3 linked regions of the Kluyveromyces lactis genome follow. The protein of the gene in region 1 interacts with the protein of each later gene in a pairwise test. Links are inferred from orthologs where the notes say so. Each region holds a gene or a part of one and is shown in the gene's direction. Other genes may lie near its edges.

What was found.
Region 2: the proteins of ATG17 (region 1) and SNX4 interact in a two-hybrid assay, tested with the Saccharomyces cerevisiae proteins (2 studies listed by BioGRID). The link is inferred for Kluyveromyces lactis from reciprocal best matches to the Saccharomyces cerevisiae genes ATG17 and SNX4.
Region 3: the proteins of ATG17 (region 1) and PRP3 interact in a two-hybrid assay, tested with the Saccharomyces cerevisiae proteins (2 studies listed by BioGRID). The link is inferred for Kluyveromyces lactis from reciprocal best matches to the Saccharomyces cerevisiae genes ATG17 and PRP3.

What each region holds. Positions count from the first base shown.
Region 1 is NC_006040.1:231,921-235,183, forward strand, and holds ATG17 (protein kinase regulatory subunit ATG17), read left to right. Parts: upstream 1-1,460; coding exon 1,461-2,732; downstream 2,733-3,263. Other genes in the region: mRNA splicing protein SPP382, read right to left, coding at 1-1,246; threonine--tRNA ligase MST1, read right to left, coding at 2,841-3,263. UniProt on the Saccharomyces cerevisiae protein: Autophagy-specific protein that functions with ATG13, ATG29, and CIS1/ATG31 in response to autophagy-inducing signals as a scaffold to recruit other ATG proteins to organize pre-autophagosomal structure (PAS) formation.
Region 2 is NC_006039.1:942,010-945,109, forward strand, and holds SNX4 (Snx4p), read left to right. Parts: upstream 1-1,302; coding exon 1,303-2,505; downstream 2,506-3,100. Other genes in the region: BRE2 (Bre2p), read left to right, coding at 1-972; TAD2 (tRNA(adenine34) deaminase), read right to left, coding at 2,730-3,100. UniProt on the Saccharomyces cerevisiae protein: Sorting nexin, involved in the separation or division of vacuoles throughout the entire life cycle of the cells.
Region 3 is NC_006041.1:826,877-830,113, forward strand, and holds PRP3 (U4/U6-U5 snRNP complex subunit PRP3), read left to right. Parts: upstream 1-1,367; coding exon 1,368-2,642; downstream 2,643-3,237. Other genes in the region: TMA17 (Tma17p), read right to left, coding at 159-641; HSP10 (Hsp10p), read right to left, coding at 2,970-3,237.

The sequences.
Region 1 (3,263 bases):
TTTGAGGGTTAACAGTCATTGAAGGTTCCCAATTTTTCAAAAACTGCTCGAACTCCAGCAGGATAAGTGCTTTTAATGACTTTAAATCCCTTTCTCCCAAAATGAGATGCAACTCGCCGTATGTCACCATGAATTCATCTGACAGAAATTGAGGAGAAAGTTGTATTTCGAGAGCCGGCATAATGTAGCGGGAAAGGAAGTGTTCCCTGCAGCTAATAAAGTCAATAATAGGTAAATACTGAACGGTTATTTGACGTAGCATCCTCGAATATCCGGTATTTGAATCTAACCAATAACATAAGGGTTGATACACCAACCTATAAATGCTGCTTTGTGTTTCGTTCAAAATATATCCAGATTCCATTCTATATGAAAGAAACCTTATTGCTGCCCTCAAATGGTTCAACTTTTCGACCTGCATATCTGCCGTATTAATTCCACGATTAAGCTCTTTGAGCAAGAACATGGTACAGAGCTTATCAAGTATGTCATCGTCATTTATTTCTAGGCATTCAGTAATCTGATCTTCAAGACTTGGTTGCGAAAGTTGTTTTTCCTTGACTTTTTCTAAAACACTTTGTAGCCTTTCCTCTTGGTGTACTTTGCGCTCGTCATCTAGTTGAGCTTTTTCCAAGCCAACTTGTATTCTATCTATGTCCGAATGAAGCTGCAGAAGCTTATTAGCAATTTCATTCAAAGAGGAAATCTCTTCTTCATGTAATTCAGAACCATTGATTGTTCTTGTCACCGTATCAGGTAGTTCTATTTTTAATTCCGCAAGGAGACTTATATTTTGAATCAATTTCTCAAGCTGGGTGGCACGACGAGTCTTAAACTCCACTGTTTTCTTTTTATTTGAACTTTCATCTGATGATGCTGAAGTATTACTATAGTTGGAGTCATCTCTATCATGTACTGCACTTAACATCCCTAATCCGACACCTTTAGGACGAGTGACTGTTTCGATTGGGTTCACTATACCTTTCCCATCTCGTCCTAAACCTTCACCTTGTTTGTAACCCATTTTTGATAAAAGCTTGGCACCCATACCATAGGTCTTTAACATCTGGTCGCTTTTCAATCCATCATTGGAGTTGGCTTGTCGTACCGGTTCATAGTCTTCTTCTTCTTTTTGTTCTTCATTGTCATCGCTATATCCATATGGATCGGTAAATACCATACTATTCATTGTCATACTGATCTTTCTTCTTTTGAACTGATCATCGTCACTGATATGTTCTGACATCTATACTGAATCACTGGAGTAGTAATAGCTGACTTGGAGTGACTGATACTCCTTTCAATCTTTACTCCGATTAATAGGTATTTATTCATACTTTGAAAAGATTTAAAGGTTTGAAGTTCAGTCTTCGAAGTGAAATTGACCGTTTAAGGGTTTCAAATTGGAAACGTTGAAGAGATGAAGATCTTTCGGTTGATCTGAACTGCGTCTACAAGAAATGAGTGATGCTGCAACTACTATACCCAGTGATGAGATAGATAAATTGTGGAATAAGGCGAGAAACCAGCTTGTGGAAGCTCAAGTCGAATGTGAAGAATCATTAAAAATCCTCTCTAAAGTGCGAACTGAAATGGACAGCTCTCAAAAGTCCAGATTTAAACTTAAATTTATACTTAATTGTTTGGTGAACCAGGTTGAGTTCTTCAAGAATATCATGCTCGAGAAATGTATTTCTACAGAGTTGATTGACAATGAATGGTCAAAGCTGGTTTTAGTCGAGATAGTCAATGACGTGAGTTATTGGCAAAACGAGATAACAACAAAGATGAAGATCTTGCAGGGTACAAAATACGACTTGACTGACGATCACAGTAGCCTTTCAGATTTCATATGCATGGATCACGTAGACATACTACAACAAAAAATCGATGAGATTCCTATTATAAAACAACAAGTGACAAACATACGACAACACTACAAATCGATAAAAGATCGAATAGAAAACCAACTAGTGGCTGTAAAGTTGAAAAAACTCAGAACTTACTTTGATTCACATTTCAGCAGGGATAGCAAAAATAATCTATTCAAATTGTTGGAAAGTGATTATGTCACTGAATTGAACGAATTTGAGAATGAACTTGCCGATTTCTTGAGATCAATCACTGATCATTTCGACAAATGCACGATATTGAAGGAACAGCAGATTCCACTACCAGATTTGAAGGAACTTTTCCAGATTGTAAAGAAAGACGATACACAGTTAGAAAATATAAGGGAATTAGTATTCGAAACGGGACTTGAAGTGAAAGCTTTCTCAAAGAAAGTCAATGAAACAATAAGTGAAATAATGGACAAAATTGGTGGATTCCATCTGCTGGCTTCCAAGATTGTGACAGAGTTAGAAAAATGTGAGGAATACTTATCTATCTTCCAAAAGATTGCTAATTTAGTATTCGTTTATAAGGAATCTTGCATAAAAAAGATTGAACAAGTGCAACAACTCTGTGAGTTTTACGATAAGTTCAAATTAGGGTATAAAAACCTTCTACGAGAAAGAGACAGACGGAAAGCCACTGCGTTACAAATGGAGAAAATATTAAAGGAATGTCAGGAGAAACTACAGGCACTGAGTGATGCTGACTTGGACCAACGCCAGCAATTTTTACTTGAAAATGGTGACTATCTTCCCGAAAACATCTGGCCAGGTTATATCGACGATATGGAATCGATGTATAGTTTCGAATATAGCATACATAATGTACCGAATTGACGGTATTGTGTTATTATTGATACATAAGTATACATATTTACAGGTATAAATTATCTTTTACATCGTTATGGTTAACATTACTTTCTGTGGTTCAAAAATTGCAAGGTATCATTTATAATTTTTCTCAAGATCGACGAACCTTTCAAAGACATCATCGATAGTTAGTAAATCCACTTTCTTCGACTCCCTGGTTCTAATCGCCACCTTGCCTGCTTCAACTTCTTTGTCACCAATCATTATAATATAAGAATAATGCTTCTTGATGGCTTCTCTAATTCTTTTACTTACAGATTCATCTCTTGCATCCATATCAACAGAGAAATGGAAGCTGTTGAGTGGAATTGGGCTTTTTGGATCACTATTTTCACCACGTAATGAGTTGACTGTCTTGAAAGCCAATTCCATTATCTTCTCATCTTCAGTCTTCACTGGGATGACCATACATTGGTTTGGATTCAACCAAAACGGCCATTTACCTTTGCTTGAATCAATTAAAATGGCCATGAATCTTTCCACCGAACCGAAAACAGC
Region 2 (3,100 bases), on another chromosome or scaffold:
GATAGATCCGACAAATTAGCATTTTCATTGGACGACCATTCGGTGAGTGTCAGCGAGAACTGCGGGTGGAGGAGCGTTAGAAGCGACGTTTGTATGAAAGAAGGAAAAATATACTGGGAAGTGGAGGTGAAAAACGTTTCTGATACATCACACATCAGATGCGGGATAAGCAGAAGAGAGGCATCAACAGAAACTCCAGTCGGATGTGATTTTTACGGTTATAGCATTAGAGATAAAGGATTGCAAGTTATTCACGAAGGCCGCTTGCATACAGTTTTGAAACCACACGAGATGCAAGCAGGTGATAGAATCGGATTTCTACTGACTTTACCTTCCCTGCAGTCTCAAAGCGAGCAAGCCATGGATTATAGTTTAAAACGAATCCAAGAGCTAAACAACGACGACAGCCGCACCAACAAAAGGAATAAGAAATTCAATAAGGAATTCTACAAGTTTTTACTGCGTTCATGCGAGCCAACGAATGTAGTTAGAGATCAAATTGCCATCAGATATAAAAATCAATTGTTTTACGAAAGTACCGATTATGTCAAAACTACAAAACCGGAATATTATGACAACAGGGACGACATGCAAAAGTTTTACGAACTTGAAAACTCGAGCTTCGAAGTTTTCGTAAATGGTGTTTCCCATGGAATAGCTTTCGAAGGCCTTACACCATTCTTACCTCCGTTCAGCGAATTGCAGTACAATGAGAAGTTTTATTTGCATCATTGGAATAAACGTAATGTCACGAAGGGGATCGAAATAAGAAATAAATACGTAAACAACAACAGGCTAGGTTATTATGCCACTTTGAGTTCATTCCAGGGAGGCACTGCATCGATCATAACAGAAGCCATGGAACTCAAGTTTCTACCGAAAGATGTAGATATCAAAACTCTGAATGATATCTACAATGAGCAGATCGCAAGTGATATTGTATGGGACTTAATAGACGAAATTGATACATAAAATAGAAAAAGAATCTTTCTAAATACTCATTTATAGAGAACGTAACCGTAAATTAACATTATAGTTCTCCAAAGCTTAGCACTCCAATGTGTTGGACCAACTAGCACCGTGAAAACATTTCGACCGAATAGTTCATGGTTATAAAGAACTTAAACTATCCTTATACCTTATATTGAGTTGTTACCTTAAAAATAAAAAAAAATAGTTGGAAACACAGTAAACCAGAAGAACTTCATATGATAGAAAAGGGATCACTAAATAGAAGGTAAAACACTGTACAAGAAGCCGTCATATACTGACGCCAGCAATACGAATAATATCTCATGCAATATGAGTGAATCAGGAACTTTGACAAATAAAGAATCAGATACTAAAATATTAAGTGTGCTGGTGTCTGATCCTCAGAAACAGAAAACGCATTCGCAGACATATATCACCTATCAAGTATCCACGAAAATAGATGGCAAAGATGAACCGAATTGTGTGGTGAGGAGGTACAATGATTTTGTACTCCTACATCAAATATTGATAAACGATCATCCTGCACTGCTTGTTCCTCCATTACCCGATAAGAAAGTCCTAAATTATCTTTCAGGGGATAGATTCTCACATTCTTTTACTCAGAAACGTTGTCGTTCTCTTCAAACGTTCATGCGCAGGTTGTTGAGTCACTCAGAGCTTTCCAAATCCAGGATTTTGGAAACGTTTTTGACCAGCACAGATTGGGATGTTTATAGAAGGAGTTTGACGGGGCAAATTTCCACTTCTGAAGTTAGTGATGTTTTGATAAACGCTTTCAAACACGTAAACAGACAAAGGGATGAGTTTGTCGAGATTAAGGAAAAGAGCGAAAAGTTAGACCATAATTTGAGCCATTTGGACAAGCTATTCCATAAATCTGTGAAAAGAGTTGATCTGATCGGACAGAATTTGAAGAAATTACAATCCTCTTTATCAGGATTACAAGAACTTTGCTGCGATGAAAAGGAGCTATCAAACAGTATCAAAGCCTTTAACGATGGAACGATGCAATTGATAGATTCATTAAATGATTTGAACAAATACGTTGACTATGAGTATAACGTTGATATTAAAGATATGATAAACTATATCGAGGCATTGAAACAACTAATAAGGCTGAAAGATCAAAAACAAATAGATTACGAGGAGCTATCAGAGTATCTAACGCGATCCATAAATGAGAAGAATAATTTACTTTCTGGCTATGGGTCAGGAAATTATTTCAAGAGTAAACTGGAAGAACTAGCTGGTATCAATCAAGAAATGGCAAGAAGAGATAAGATAGCGAAATTAGAGACCAGAGTTCAATCTTTAACGGACGAAGTCGAAAAATCAAAACAAGTCGCTGATGAATTTGAGAAAGAGGTTCTCAAAGAGGTCGAACAGTTTGAACAAATAAAAACTTTGGAATTGAAAGATTCGTTAGCTGCTTTGGCTCAAAAACATATTGATTTTTATGATGATATGGTGGAGAAGTGGTCGAAGATCGAAGAACGTCTCGAAAGCGCCTGACGGCTGGATTTTTTTTTGAAGCCTCTCACTGTGTTTCAAAACACTACAAAGGCTTCGTAACAATTACGTAGAGACATCGATTAATAAGTTTGTACTTTTGTTTCAGTATTTATGACTATCTAGCTATCTTTATGCAATGAAAAAAAAAACGAAAACCAGAAAGAGAGTACATCCATCATGTTGTGAGCATCACTAAAACTTGGAATTGTTTAATTGTGTCAAACTCAATAAGTACAATTAACACTCTGCACCTGTTCAATCAGGTCATGCAAAAAACTTTCATCGCAGCCAGTATCTATGAGATCCCAATCAATTTCATCGTAGACGTCTCTATGCGAATAAAATGCATCTCTAAACTCCTGGCCAAATTCATCTTCAAACTCTTCGAGCGTTAAATACTTATCCCATTGTAGTGGAGGGAAGGTCTCTTTATCCAGTTTTCTATCTTTCTTTGTTCGTGGTTTGGGTGCCCTATCATTTTCTCTAACATAAAAGTAACGTAGAAGCATTATAGCTTCTCTGCGCAAAACGCCGGGGATGCTCACATATTTATTAGATTTATTTGTAGATGTATCATTATGAATGCATAATATAG
Region 3 (3,237 bases), on another chromosome or scaffold:
GAAACCAGAACGGGTGCGTTTATTCATCTCTGAAAGTATACAGTTTTCCGAGGTCATACCAGCCCACACTTTTAAACATGCATTTTTGCTTTCATTCATTTTTTTTTTACTATACTTCAATATATGAGTACATTATATATATTTTGTTTGGAATGGGTTCATAAGTTAATGCTATTGGAACCAGTGGCATCAGCAGTATTATCTGAATCCACGCCAACGGTTCTCCGGCCTTGAGATTGCAAAGATCTTTTTAATTTTGTGGACGCCGATTGGATGTCACCGGAAGATACAGTGCTAGCCCTGTGCTGTTCTTCTAGGTCCAAAGCTTGTAGCCTTTCGTTATAATTATCCAATACTTTTCCATTTTCCGCTAATGAGTCTTGGAATACTTGCAAATCCTTCTCATCAATATCATCATCGGAAAAATTCCCTTCCGCGTCCAATTCTTGTCTGTTCAATACCTCTTCACCCTTAAGCTTGGCAACGTACGCTTCTAACCTTCTGTTAGATCTTTGTAAATGCTTCACTGCATTATTGATCTCTTTTCTGATCTCTTGTAATTCATGCTCAGACGATTCTCTAATAGCAATCACGAACTCTTGAATCTGAATTGGTCTACGAATACCAGAAGAATGTGCCATATTTCTATGTTAAGTCTATCCTTAGCTATGTATGTTTTTTCACTTTTTAGTCTTGTTTCGGTTGGAAAGTACGAGATGAATTAAGATCGGTATCCTTAACTATATATTCAAGCTAGCCTTTTATAACAATAATTTAAGCCAGAGTTTATTCTCTTACTATTTATACCCAACGGTAAGATATCACGCCCCACATATGACACCCACCCCTCCGAGGCACCATCATTGCAAATCAGAGTGTATGATGCGCACGTTACTATGCTGACTTTTTCCAGCTCCAAAGCAACACTACTTGTTAAAAATCACATCAGCTTTTCTGCTTTCCTTTCTCCTGGGCTGGATTTCCCCGCCTAAGTCCTTCTCTGGGAACTGAACTTTGTCCCTTTCAGCAAAGAGTTGAGAAACTCACGAGGAACACAAAAACAACGAGAATTAGGGGCCGCTTATGTAATTCTTTTCATCCCATAAAACAGAAAAATTGTGCTGTTTTGGCTTCCACCCATACACTACGCACAATCAGGGGTTGGTGCAATTTCGGATATATTACCCGGGCATGGTGAATTTCATCATAGGCGTTACAGAGTGAAGATGTGATTCAGATTCTATATGAGAGAGAGTTCATTGCGATGCTAGAGAAGAGATGGACAAAAGACAAATGGTGATGTGTAATAGTAACTACGGATTGTCTGGAATAATCGGCCCTTTGTACAAAAATCATATCATCATATAATGGGCAATGATAATAATACTAATAGAGGGTTAAATCGGAAATTGCATTCTGCATTGAGTGTTGAGAATGTCAATTTATTGAGATTTCAAGGTAGACGTTGTGGAAACCCATACTTGCAAGACGTACAGGCTCATGGTTTTGAGCCAAAGGCAAGAGTATCGTCTCATTGGTATGAACCGGGAGAGGTTGTCCAGCATGCTGCAAAATTAAGACAAGAGAACCGTGAAAAGTCTGAAGAAGAAAGAATACGATGGGAAGCTGAACTGGAGAAACAGCAGGAAATCGAACGGAAAATAGAAATAGGGGAACTACCTGATAAGCATGAAGAAGTTTATTTTACCGATTTATCGGACGTTCCTGATGTGGAATGGTGGGATGTTCCATATATCAAAGATGGTAGCATCCATGAGAAATATAGTTTGGATTATTCCACATTGAATTCGGACGATGAAAGTGATGATGAAGAGGAAGAGGAAGAGGAAGGTGCACAAGATAAATTCCCAAGTATTAGGTATATTCAACATCCGGTACCGATTGAAAGGCCTAGGGCAGCTGTTCCAGTGGCAGAGATTTTCTTAACGAAAAACGAACGGAAAAAGGCCAGAAGGAATACGAGGAAGTTGGTACGACAGGAGAAGGAGGAGAAAATCAAGCTTGGTATAGAACCAAAACCAGAGCCCAAGGTTAAATTATCGAATATGATGAATGTGTATGAGAATGATGCCAATATTGCGGATCCAACTCAATGGGAATCCATCGTACGGAGACAAGTGGCAGAGAGGAAAAGGAAACATTTCGAAGAAAATGAAATAAGGCATCAAGAAAGCCTGAAACGAAGGAAGGAATCCCAGTTACAAGCACACAGCAATGATAGTCCTCTAGAATACACGTGTGTTGTTTACATGTTTGACGAAATACAGAATCCTAGTATCAGATACAAAATCAAAACCAACGGTAAGCAATTGAAGTTGAAAGGATGCTGTCTACACATTCAAAATGGCAAAGGTATAATTGTAGCTTTTGGAGATGAAAAATCTATCCGCTTTTTCGATAAGTTGGTGACAAAGCGAATCAATTGGTCGGAACCATACAAAGATAGAGATACCGAAGAGACAGTACCTTGCGACGGTAAAATTACAAAGGTTTGGCAAGGATTAATTGGTGATTGTAGATTCAAGGGCTGGTTCATGCTCGATTGTAAAGATAAAAACCAGTTAAATAATATCTTAGAGCAGCACGATGCATTGACTTTTGTACCATTAGGTAAGTTTTAACAAACAATTACGTACTGAAAATGAAATCCAAGTTCGAAATCATCAAAATTTTGGAATAAAAGTAATAGTGTATGTTAAAAAAAATAAAACCGGAGTAAATCCAACGACCTACTTAGAACATTTATTTACATGGGGTGAGTAGGCAGTCCAAGTGACGCACAATGGTCAACATTATTGAGTTTTATCACTACCAACATCAAAAAAAAGTCATATTTATATAAATAATATCTCCCTTCGTCTCTCAAAATTCAATCATCAATAACAGAGAAAGATACTGGCTCATAACATCGTTCTTTAAATTTAATTCTGGTGTAACGTTCGAGACCTTTATTCGACGACCTTGGCCAAGATTTCAGAGTCTCTGAATAAAACGACTTCATCATCCTTGCCCAACTTGATTGTGGATCCACCGAATTGTGGGATCAAAACTTGGTCACCTGGTTGGACAGATGGTGTAATCTTGTTACCGTTGGAATCGGTGAAACCTGGACCAGCAGCCAACACAGTAGCTTGGTTTAATTTCTCAACGTTCTTTTCTGGCAAGTATAAACCAGAAGCAGTCTTGGCTTCGGCCTTGATTCTTTGCACCAGAACA